3 linked regions of the Macaca fascicularis genome follow. The protein of the gene in region 1 interacts with the protein of each later gene in a pairwise test. Links are inferred from orthologs where the notes say so. Each region holds a gene or a part of one and is shown in the gene's direction. Other genes may lie near its edges.

What was found.
Region 2: the proteins of CFAP206 (region 1) and C1H1orf94 interact in binary tests that used the Homo sapiens proteins (3 or more experiments, as listed by UniProt). The two-hybrid records come from large-scale screens. The link is inferred for Macaca fascicularis from reciprocal best matches to the Homo sapiens genes CFAP206 and C1orf94.
Region 3: the proteins of CFAP206 (region 1) and SOX30 interact in binary tests that used the Homo sapiens proteins (3 or more experiments, as listed by UniProt). The two-hybrid records come from large-scale screens. The link is inferred for Macaca fascicularis from reciprocal best matches to the Homo sapiens genes CFAP206 and SOX30.

What each region holds. Positions count from the first base shown.
Region 1 is NC_088378.1:87,903,170-87,907,337, reverse strand, and holds the start of CFAP206 (cilia- and flagella-associated protein 206), read left to right. Parts: upstream 1-1,243; coding exon 1,244-1,350; intron 1,351-3,040; exon of another isoform or gene 3,041-3,044; coding exon 3,045-3,153; intron 3,154-3,797; coding exon 3,798-3,881; intron 3,882-4,168. UniProt on the Homo sapiens protein: Essential for sperm motility and is involved in the regulation of the beating frequency of motile cilia on the epithelial cells of the respiratory tract. Required for the establishment of radial spokes in sperm flagella.
Region 2 is NC_088375.1:200,780,566-200,784,216, reverse strand, and holds part of C1H1orf94 (uncharacterized protein C1orf94 homolog), read left to right. Parts: intron 1-847; coding exon 848-1,023; intron 1,024-3,651.
Region 3 is NC_088380.1:164,438,282-164,441,932, reverse strand, and holds part of SOX30 (transcription factor SOX-30), read left to right. Parts: 5' UTR 1-1,734; coding exon 1,735-2,701; intron 2,702-3,651. UniProt on the Homo sapiens protein: Acts both as a transcriptional activator and a repressor. Binds to the DNA sequence 5'-ACAAT-3' and shows a preference for guanine residues surrounding this core motif. Binds to its own promoter and activates its own transcription.

The sequences.
Region 1 (4,168 bases):
AGATACAACCACTGTTAAAATTTTGCTATCTCACCTTCCTTTGGTTGCTTTACCTTGTATACTTACAGTATATTTGTATATCTAAATTGGGCTCATTCTCTACAAATAGCCAGTCTCATCTCCCTAGTATTTTAAAATTTTGTTTTATAGATCATAAGACAATATATACTCATTATGGAAAAATCTAGAAAAAACAGAAAAGTATAAAGAAATAAAAATACTTTACCTATAATTCCATCCTTAGATCTAATTCCTTGCTGTGATTTTGAAAAAATGACTTATACACTTTTTGTGCATTATATGTACGTCAATATAGTTTAAGTCATATTATATATAAATTTTGCATTTGGCTTTTAAAAAGTATAAGACAAACACAAGGTTTTTATTAACATAATTTTAAATACCTGCCTGACGTTTTACTTAAATATCGTGTTTAGATTTCCAAGGTTGTGGTATTATAAATCATGTTACTCTGAACATCTATTTTTACACAAGCTTCATCCACATTCCGGGAACATTTTCTAGAAGGTGGAAATAAAATTGTGTTATATTATGATGTGTATTCTTGAGTTTTTGTGTTTATTCATTTCCTAGTAATCAGGGAATGTCCTTAAGCAAAGCATATTCTGCATGTTTGTTTGCAGTTTGAGAAAAGTTACTGTTTAAAAATAAAACCTTGTTGTTTGATGCTCTCCTTCTAATGCGTATTTAATCCTTTTTCACACTTTCAGGTCTGAAGGTGGGCCTAACGACATTATCGTTAAGGGATAAAACTTCATTATTTTGACTCGGACACTAATGTGTTCTTATCATGTGCTTCTTGAATGAGTTTTCTCTTCGGGCATTTTGGAGCGTTCTGTTGCAGACTTCCTTTGAACAACGGGACATGAAGTAAAACCTCGATACTTTTTACTTTTGTTTTTTAAATCTAGATACTTTTACAAGAACTCTATTTGTCCAGGATACAGCCCTTCCGTTTTCCCAGCCTCTCCAACTGGCTCCTCCCTCTCCCCGACCCCGCTTTCAAAGCCGCCCCATCGTTCCCACGCTAGCGAGTTAATGTCCTTATTTACGAGAACTTGTGTTTCACAGTCTTAACCACGGAGGTTAAGATGTCTCTGCCTGGAATTTCTTTGTTTTTAAAGTTTTTCCAGCCCATCTTTCGCGGAAAAGACCCTCAAAGTGGGACCCAGCCCCGCCCCCACCTGGCCCCACCCCCTCTGGTCCGGAGCCTTCCATCTCCATGGTTACGCGGCGGTTGCTGCGAGAGCCCAACTGCCCCGACGGTCGCGGTGAGGGCCCCAGGACAGAAGCAGACAGACACGGCTCCTGCTGTCGATTCCGATCCAGGTCAGCCTACTCGGGGCTCCGCGCCCTTGACCCGGAGGTGTGTCCCGCCAGGCGGCGAGCGTGGGGCAGCTGGCGGAGCCCGGGCGGCTGGAGGACCGCGTCCTGCCTCGTCGAGACTTAGCTCTCAGTCTCGATCCTTTAGGCTGCGCCGCCGCTGAGCTGGAACAGCGGTCCATTCCCGCCGGAGGCGCCCAGGGCGGCAGGGCGGCCCTCTAGCCACTGCGCGGGCGCCTGAGGCCTTCCGCCTCTGTTCCACTCCACTGGCTACCCTAGAAGCCTGACCTCGGGAGACTTAGTAATTGGTGGGTGGATGCGGGGAAGGTGCTGAGCCGCGTCCCTAGCGACCCGGCACAGTTGCGCATGCGCACACAGACCCGGCGCGGGATAGACTCTCCCACAGACTGACACTCGCGCATGCGCTGCTTGCGATCCTGGAGTACTGATTCAAAGCTGTTTTAAGCGATTCCCTTATGCCGCAAACTGTTGTAACCACACAACATATAGGACTAATTTAGTCCTCACGCCTCTGGAAAGAAGTGAAACAAGTGCCCAAGATCTCACAGCTAGACAGTGGTCGGGTCACGATGGAATCCAAGCAATCTGGTTTCACTGGACAAAATGCCTCGTGCTTCCGTACCCATCCATCGGAAAGCTAATAATGCTGAGGAGTTGGCTTTATCTACCTGATATTGCCTTTGTTATACTCTACATGCCAAGTTCCATTGTGCTCAGTTACTAATATTCAGGAAAATCAGAAAACTCGGTCAAAACCTGCCACTTTTTCCTTAGAGTAAATGGAATTAATAACCAGGAGTTCATTTTTTTCCATGACGCATAACTCTTACGTTTTGGTTTTTGCTTTTGTGTTTTTTATCGAGAGTCTGAACTCCATTTTAGATGTGCGGAAAAGATTATTTTAATGATCTGAGCAAGAATTGTTTTCCAAGATTCTAGTACCATTACGAAAGATTATTTAGTGAATGTGGTTGAATAAGCATTTCCTCTTTCAAGCTGTACTCTTGGGTTTCTCATTAATTTTACCTTCTTCCCCTACAAATACTGCTTACCTTTTTTTTTTTTTTTTGAGACGCAGTTTCGCTCTTGTTGCCTAGGCTGGAGTGCAATGGCGTGATCTCGGCTCACCGCAACTCCCGCCTCCCGGGTTCAAGCGATTCTCCTGCCTCAGCCTCCGGAGTAGCTGGGACTACAGGCGTCCGCCACCACGCCCGGCTAATTTTGTATTTTTAGTAGAGACGGGGTTTCTCCGTGTTGGTCAGGCTGGTCTCGAACTCCCGACCTCAGCTGATCCGCCTGCCTCGGCCTCCCAAAATGCTGGGATTACAGGCGTGAGCCATCGCGCCCAGCCTGCTTAGCCTTTTTTTTTTTTTTTTTTTTTTTTTTTAAATTAAGAATATCATGATAGGAATATATGTTTAGTGACCATAATTTAAATAATTGAAAATGTTAATTATCAGATGTTTCAATTATTTGAAATCCCAATCATTGTCTGTCTTCAATAAAGTCCTTCATTTTTAAAAATAATGAAAAACAGGAGAGGCCTAGATACTAATAAAAATACTAATAAGCTAATAGATGATATTATGACTCTTTACAAATACAATATTGGAGAAATCGGAAGAGAAAAAAATTTGCATAAACCCACGTTTTTAAAAAAAATTGTTTTATTTAGCCAGAATGCCTCCAACTCAGGCCGAAAGTGTTATAAGGAGTATTATACGAGAAATAGGACAAGAATGTGCAGCCCATGGAGAGATTGTTTCTGAAACTCTGATTGCTTTTATGGTAAGAAGAAATCTTTTTGTGATTACTACTTTATTAAGAGCTTTTTTAAGATGTGATGTCCATTTTCCCCTTTAAATTCTGTGAAGCTTTCATAGATGTTTTTCAGCTTAAACATAATGAGATCATCGGACAAGTTAGTGAAAACATTTTAAAAACGTTTATAGAGCATGTGAGTTGTAGATTTATAGAGACTGATTTAGAAGACCTTGATGAGTTTGGAAAACATAAATAATGTTCTCCTGTGTGGAAATTTTTTGGTGTGTATTTTTGTTTGCCGTTGTTAAAAATTACTCATTGCTATGGTTTCTCTGTTCTTGCTTTTGGTTAAGATAACAATACACAATAAAAATACAATAAAATATACCATAGTTTCCCAACTGAAAACCTAGCCATTGCTTTCAACTTATTTCCCCATATAACTTTTCTAGCACCCCATTCAAATTTGATGTTTGTCGCTTCTTTTCTTCAGCCTCTAACAAGGGTACTGATGAGTTCAGTAGTAAGAAAAATAGTTGAAAAACCAACCCCACTGTAATCAGGAGGTAGTTGTTTAAAAAATGGAAACACATTAAACTAATAATATGAAATAAAATTGCTTAATGGATTCTTTCCTACTTAATGGGCTTGTTCCTACTTTTTTCCAGGTGAAAGCTGTTGTCCTGGATCCAAGTAATGGCTTTAACATGGATAGAACCCTCATGAAAAGTGATGTGCAGAATCTTGTTAAGGTGATTACCCAACAGTCCTCAAATTTGCAATTACTTATTCTCAGTTGTAAACACAGTATTTGTGTTAGTCATTATTGCCTTCAGCTAAATGAAACAAAAGCCCACAAAATAGTACTACACATGAGGTATTTTTCTCATAACACAAAGTGTGGAGAGACATAGACCCTTCTTCCTGGCTTCCTGGGGCATGCCATCCTTGCAATATGGTCATCTGATGGTCAAAAGATAGCTACCCTACCTCTAGGTAGAAAGAAGGGGGGAAGGCAAAGGGCAAAATACGTGTGCCA
Region 2 (3,651 bases), on another chromosome or scaffold:
TCGAGGGTCACATCAGCATTATTAATGGTCACTTCTGAATATAGCCCTGACCCAGCATGTATTATATCCTCTCAAATTGCCCAAGCCAAAACAAAAAATCCTTGCTGTAGATTACTTCTGCATTGAGATTATGTTCCTGCTTTCTCTTCCTATAAGTGTTCTCGTCAAACCTCTTTTCCCAAAAGGATGCCAATAAGGGGGAAACTGAGGACCCATTTCTGGTTTTATAACCCCCTACAACATCTTGTAGAAAGGAAGAAGCCAGGATTCTTATCTTGAAACAACTCAGCCTAACTTCATTCATTTAAACCAATTTTGATTCACTGCATGCTGAATTATTTAATGTTTTGAAATATATATTTTTTAATTCCCATATAGATACAACAACCTGTGAAAGTTTCTTAGTGTTGCCAAATATATGTCCTTAGGGAGGGCTGCTTTAATCATTTGATAAGGATGAATTCCAATGGCATAGCAGTGGTTCACATAAAGTTGGATTTTTCCAAAGCAGTTGAAAGAATTTCATTTTGTAAGTAGGTGAAATATAGCCCTAGCAATCTGGCTTATTGTATTCCCTTGCTAAACTGCCTTCTTTACTAGTGAATGATGGAAAGAAAAGCTCCAAGCCAGACCTTCTGGGATTTTCATACCTTCCAAATTGGCAAGGTGTGAACTAATGATGTTTACCTATAGTTGGAAATGTACTAGGACTTTGAAGAACCCTCTTGGAGCTTAAAGGACCTGACCTGTGAGACTGTGAATCCCCAGGGAAGTTGTGATGCTGAAGGTGTCCTGGCCTTTCCCTGCCTCCGTTACTGACCCGCTTTACCTCTCCTGTGACTTGCAGTTAACGCACCTGTGACGGTTGCTGACAAGAACAACCCGAAGTACACAGGGAATGTTTTCACTCCACACTTTGCTACAGCCTTGACCTCAGCAACCCTGAACCAGCCACTCTGGCTCAACCTGAACTATCCACCTCCACCAGTGTTCACGAATCACTCTACCTTCCTGCAGTATCAGGTCAGTGAACGGGCCTGGCTCTCCTGTGGACATCCACAGGGGTTTTGGCCACAGAGGAGGCGTGGCTGGCAGGGAGTCTATTTCACAAAGAGTCTTTAGACTCTTCTGAATCCCTTCCCTACATGCAAGAGGCTTCGCTGGGGCTATGGAAGGGCACTGTCAACTTGTCATCTTGTTGGTTATTTTTTTCATTGTGGTCACATCAGATCTACCCCTTGGTTCATGTGCATGCATGTGCACACCTCCACAAACACATATATGTATATTTAGTCCTAACTTTCCGCTGTCTGAATTCCAGTTCACACTGTGCTCTTTATTGCAGAGTCTCTTTGCTAGTAGTGGCTGGTTAAGTGCTTGGGCTCCCAGGAGAAGATGATGTCACAGTCCTTGTTTCCCACCTCCTTCCTGTGACTTCCTTTGAAGTTGGATGACATATATCCTAGATTATTTGGGACAGTCCCAATTTAGGTCTTCTGTTTCAGAATAATATTAATGGCATCTCTTTTCACTCTCAAGTGTCCTGGTTTGGACAACAAATTACAGTCAGCCCTCTGTATCCACGGGTTCCACATCCACAGATTCAACCAGCTTGGATGGAAAATACTTGAAGAAGGAAACAATTAAAAAAAATACAACAACAAAAAATAATGCGAATAAAAGATAATATAGTATAATAACTATTTACATAGTACATTATTAGACATTGTTAGTAATCTAGAGATTAAAGGATACAGAAGCATGTGCATAAGCTGCGTGCAAATACTATGCCATTTTATATCAGGGACTTGAGCATCCTCATATCCCTTTTTATATCAGGGACTTGAACATCTTTATATGTCATTGTGTATCAGGGACTAGAGCATCCTCATATGCCATTTTATTTTATTAGAGACAGAGTCTCACTTTATTGCCCAGGGTGGAGTGCAGTGGCATGATCTTGGCTCACTGCAATCTCTGCCTCCTAGGTTCAAGTGTTTCTCCTACCTCAGCCTCCCAAGTAGCTGGGATTACTGGTATGTGCGCCACCACACCTGGTTAATTTTTGTATTTTTAGTAGAGACAGGGTTTCACCATGTTGGCCAGGCTGGTCTCGAACTCCCCAACTCGTGTGATCCACCCGTTTCCATTTCCCAAAGAGCTGGGAGTACAGGCGTAAGCCACTGCACCCAGCCCTCAAATACCATTTTATATCAGAGAGTTGAGCATCTTTATATGTCATTTTATATCGGGGACTTGAGCATGCTCAGATTTTGGTATCCACAGGGCAGGGGAGGGAGGGTGAACTTGGAACCAATCCTCTGAGGATACCATGGGATGAGTGTATATGGCCACCTTACTTACACTACACCCAAGCAGTCTTAGCTTGTATCAACCAAGGTTGTTTGGCACACATTCTTGTTCTTGGGCTCGTAGCTGAAGGAGAAAATCAGTGGCCAGACACAAAGGGACAGTGAAGCACCTGTAGCAGGGCTGGAAATTCTGCTCACAGAACTTATTTATGCAGGGAAAATGTAGTTTCTTTATTTCGTCAATTTAACTTAATATCCCTTAAGAGCTTCCACCCACTGGGTAGAAGGAGGGAAAAATTAAATAAATGTCCACTCTGGTTTAAGCCTTAGCCCAATCCAATAACTTAAATAGTCCCTTTAGGTAGAACTCAATTTTTTCAGGAAAGACTCTCCATGCCTAAGATTTCTGTCTTCTGTTCCCCTCACTGGCTTCTCTCTAGAATTGTATGTCATTGTATGGGGAAGGGCAGGAACTCAAATTTGTGCATCCAGGACCTTGGCAAGTTGCTGCCGCAGCCTGGCCCAGCACAGCCTGAAGTAAGAAAGCAGAGAAGGGAATATTTCCAACTTGGTTTGTCCTGTTGCTATGTCCCTTCCCCCCTCTCCATCCCCAGGAACCCTATGCTGTTCTTTCCCTTTCAACACAGCACAAGGCTTATGTCCTACGGGGAAAGGGGATTGGCTCTTCTCTATATAAAGACTCTTCAATCTGCCCCACCAGGCTTAGCTTCTGAATCTTAAAGGAACTTAGCAAAGTCTCTCTCTGTTTTGTTTGCAAGCTTTTTGTTTGTGTGTGAGTTTGCTAAAGAGAACAAGTACCCATCCCCTCCCCAGGGAAGGAAAGCTCACACCCCACTGTGGAGGTGAGAGGTTGTGATGAAAGGTGACCTAAGAAGGAAGCTGAAGTGGACTAGTTTCACATTAGTAGTTTATTGTCGTGGACCAGTTTCATATTAGTAGTCTATTGTCTTTACACAGGTCTTGAAATGTTCTGTTCATTCATTCACTGACTCCTTTACCAATATGCTTCTACCCTTTCATTTTTGTGTGCTTATTCACTATTCATTTACTCACCTACTCATGATTTACTCATTTCTATGTATTTATTTGCTCATTAATTTAAGTAATTTTGAAAACCTTTTCTCCCTACACCTACTATAGGCTGAGCATTGTTCTAGTCAGGTGTGGCGGCGTGTGCCTGGAGCCCCAGCCTACACCGGAGGCTGAGACAGGAGAATTGCCTGAGCTCAGGAGTTCAGGGCTAGCCTGGACAAGATAGCGAAACCCTGTCTCTAAAAAAAAAAGTGACTAAGAAAGAATCTTGGAGTATAATACAAGT
Region 3 (3,651 bases), on another chromosome or scaffold:
TATTGACCACATTTGTTACCAGAGGATTAGACAAAGAATTGGAGTGGTTTTCTTTGAGTGATAACTTGTCTTGATTGCAAAAATCATCTACGTCAAGATAAACTATAGCTTTTGGCCAGAATGTCATTTAGAAATGCAACAAATGTTAATACAGGATTTCTTTTTGTTTTTCTTGGTGATGTGTAATGGAAATAAACACAATCCTAATAAAAGGAGAAGCATAAACACGGAAAGGATTTGGAAGAGTGTCTAGCATAAGAGTAAGCCCTTAACACAGGTAGTGATTATTACTATTTTATTATTACCCTACCACAGTTGCTATTCAGTTATTTATTCAACAAGTATTTATTGAGTACTATATGCCAGGCTCAATGATCTGCATTGGGGATTCAGTGATGGGGAAAACACAAACAGTTCTGCCTTCAAGGACTTTATAGTCAAGTGAGAGAGGAAGTAGAATCATCACATAAAAATTCTAATTACAAATCGTGGTAAGCAAATGAAGTGATAGAGGTATAAGTAGACCAAGATTTGCTCTGATTTTCAGAGTCAGTAAAAGCTTCTTTGAAGAAGTCCCAGTTAAGCTGAAATTTGAAAAATGGGAAGGAGGAATTAAGGAGACACAAAGGAAAGAGTAGCACGCTGAGCATGTTTACAGAGCCCACAGTAAAGAGAATGATGAGGGGGCCAATGTGGCTGAAACCCAAAGACTCAGTAACTATTTAAGAGCAAAAGCCACAATTACTTTTGCACCAATCTAATAGTAGTAGTAGTAGTAGGTTAGATCCCAAGCCATTGGGGGGATTTTTAAGGCTTTGCTAAGAATTTTAGACTTTCATCACATGATCAGTGGGGAGCCACGGAAAGCTTTAGGAAAAGTGTGACAACCTCAGATTTGCGTTTTCGAAAGATCACTGGCAGCTGGAGTGTAGTGGGGCAAGAGTGACAAACAGGGAGACTATGTACAGGGTTAAGGCAGTATCCCAGTGAAAGATGGTGGGAGCCTGCAACAGGATAATGGCAGGTAGAAACACAAAACAGTGGACGAATTTGGGATGTATAATATTTTGGAAGTAGGACCACAGGGCCTGGTGATTAACTGAAACTTTAGCACAATAATCACACAAAGTCGAAAAGCCTCCCCAGCAAGATCAGCTAATGGGTTATTGATAATTTGCAAAATCTTCACCATTCTCCCTTGGCAAAGATTCAAAAGCCCTGGTGATACAAAAGCCCTGGTGATACTCAGGGCCGACAGATTACTCATTCCGCACAGAGCGGGCCCACAAGTCGTCGCCCGCCTTGTGACGCAAGACTTTATTCCCTGGACGTCAGTGGCCTGGAAGCGCAGCGTTTCCTGGGCAACGCCATTGTCGCAGCTCCGGGCGGGGTAGGGATAACTAAAGACAACGGCCGGGGAGAGAACTCCACAAGAGAGGGAGAGTCAGAGAAAATGGGCAACAAGTGCGGCGGCTTCCGCCATGGCAGGTGATTCGAGGACTCAGCACGAGGCGAGAGTAGGGACCGGGAAGAGCCGGAAAACCCGCCTGTGATTGGCCGTCCAGGGGTATCGGTCGCTTGTGATTGGTGAGGCCCAAACAGACAGCTGCGTTTTGAACCGCGTAGGGTTCTGGGTAGCAAAGGCCTTGCAAGGGTCTTAACCGAAAGGGGGAGGGGGAAGGTCGCCAACAAACGGCTGAGCTCACAATCCAGGCCGGGGCGTCCCCCTCCCCCATGGAGAGAGCCAGACCGGAGCCTCAGCCTCAACAGCGCCCGTTGCGTCCCGCTCCGCCCCTGCTGCCGGTCGAGGGCACCACCTTTTGGGCAGCGGCCGTGGAGCCCCCTCCGTCGCCTCCCACACTAAGCGCGGCCGCCAGTGCGACCTTGGCCTCGTCGTGCGGGGAGGCCGTGGCGTCCGGCTTACCGCCCGCGGTGCGGCGGCTGCTGCAGGTGAAGCCAGAGCAGGTGTTGCTGCTACCACAGCCTCAGGCCCGGGACGAGGAAGCCGCTGCCTCGCCCGCGCAGGCGCGGCTGTTGCCGTTCAGGCCCGACCTTCGGCTCCTGCCGCCGCCGTCAGCGTCCGAGGGCGCCCCCTCCAGGCCGGAGTTGCACCCGGTGCAGCCCCGGGCGCTGCACTTCAAGGCCAAGAAGCAGGAGCTGGGGCCCGGCCTGGACCCGTCAGTGGGTCCTCGTGGGGGCGTCGAGACCGGTCCTAGAGCTTCCAGGGTGGTCAAGTTGGAAGGTCCGGGACCGGCCCTCGCCTACTTCCGAGGGAACGAGAAGGGCAAGCTGGAGGCCGAGGAGGTCATGAGAGACGCGATGAAAGGCGGGGATGGCAAAAGCCCGGCGGCCATCCGAGAAGGTGTGATCAAAACGGAGGAACCCGAGAGACTCCTCGAGGACTGCAGGCTCGACGCGGAGCCCGCGTCCAATGGCCTAGTTCATGGCAGCGCGGAGGTCATCTTGGCCCCAACGTCCGGTGCCTTTGGGCCGCACCAGCAAGACCTCAGGATCCCTTTGACTCTCCACACGGTCCCCCCTGGGGCCCGGATCCAGTTTCAGGGAGCTCCGCCTTCAGAGCTGATAAGATTGACCAAAGTCCCCCTTACACCAGTGCCTATTAAAATGCAGTCCCTACTGGAGCCTTCTGTAAAAATCGAAACCAAAGATGTCCCGCTCACCGTGTTGCCCTCAGATGCAGGTATTAGACAGCAGGGGAGAGGGGTTTTCAAAACTGCACCTGTGTTGCCCATAGCTGTTTTGTCAGCAGTTCCCAAGTCTAAACTACAAAAGTGAAGTCATGGAACCTATTATTTTCAGGGCAGAGTCTGCACAGGTTATCACTTCTGATCGACTTGTATATGTAGCAGTAAAATACACGAATGCCTTCAAGATTCTCAAGTATTTTTTAAAAAATCGATTTTAAGGCCCAGTATTTAGATAGGACTAATTTTTGTACACAAAAATAGAGGTATTTTCTAGACAGCACAGAGCCCTCAGTTTATATGCTACAAATAATCAAGATTAAAAATATTGTATTATAATAGCTCAGTACTTTTATATGTGTCAAGATATAGAGGAAATTATGGTGTTTAATGAAAAAAGGGATTATAGTTAAATAGGAAAGTTTATATCCATTATAGAGGCTATCTTTAAAAATGAACAGTAAACATTCTTCTAGCAGAAAACAGTACGTGATTCGATGTAATATTTTAGTGTTTATTCCTCTGAAAGGTAAGGACTTATAGAAATACTGAAAAGAATACGGTAGAATGAGCCATAAATATTGTTTTTAAAGAAATGACTAGTTGTAGCGGTAACAAGTACAAATAGATGTTTTTATTTCTATCCAGTATTTCCAGATATAAAGTTAGCAAATTCTTATTTTACGATTTAGTTCACACAGAACACTTTGCCAATGAACATCTTGGAAAGTCATATTAATCTTTGGTTCATATTTTCTTTATTTATTTTTTAAATTTTCTGTGTTGATTCTTCCTCTCCACTCCACTCTGTTGCTTTTCTCTTTAGTATTTTTTAGATTTTTGTTTTCTAAAGGAAAGAAAGGGAAAGCTTTCTTTATACTACTTATTTCATCCTTAGTGTTTTAAAGAAATTTTTAATATATCAGGCAATCCTAAAATATAAATT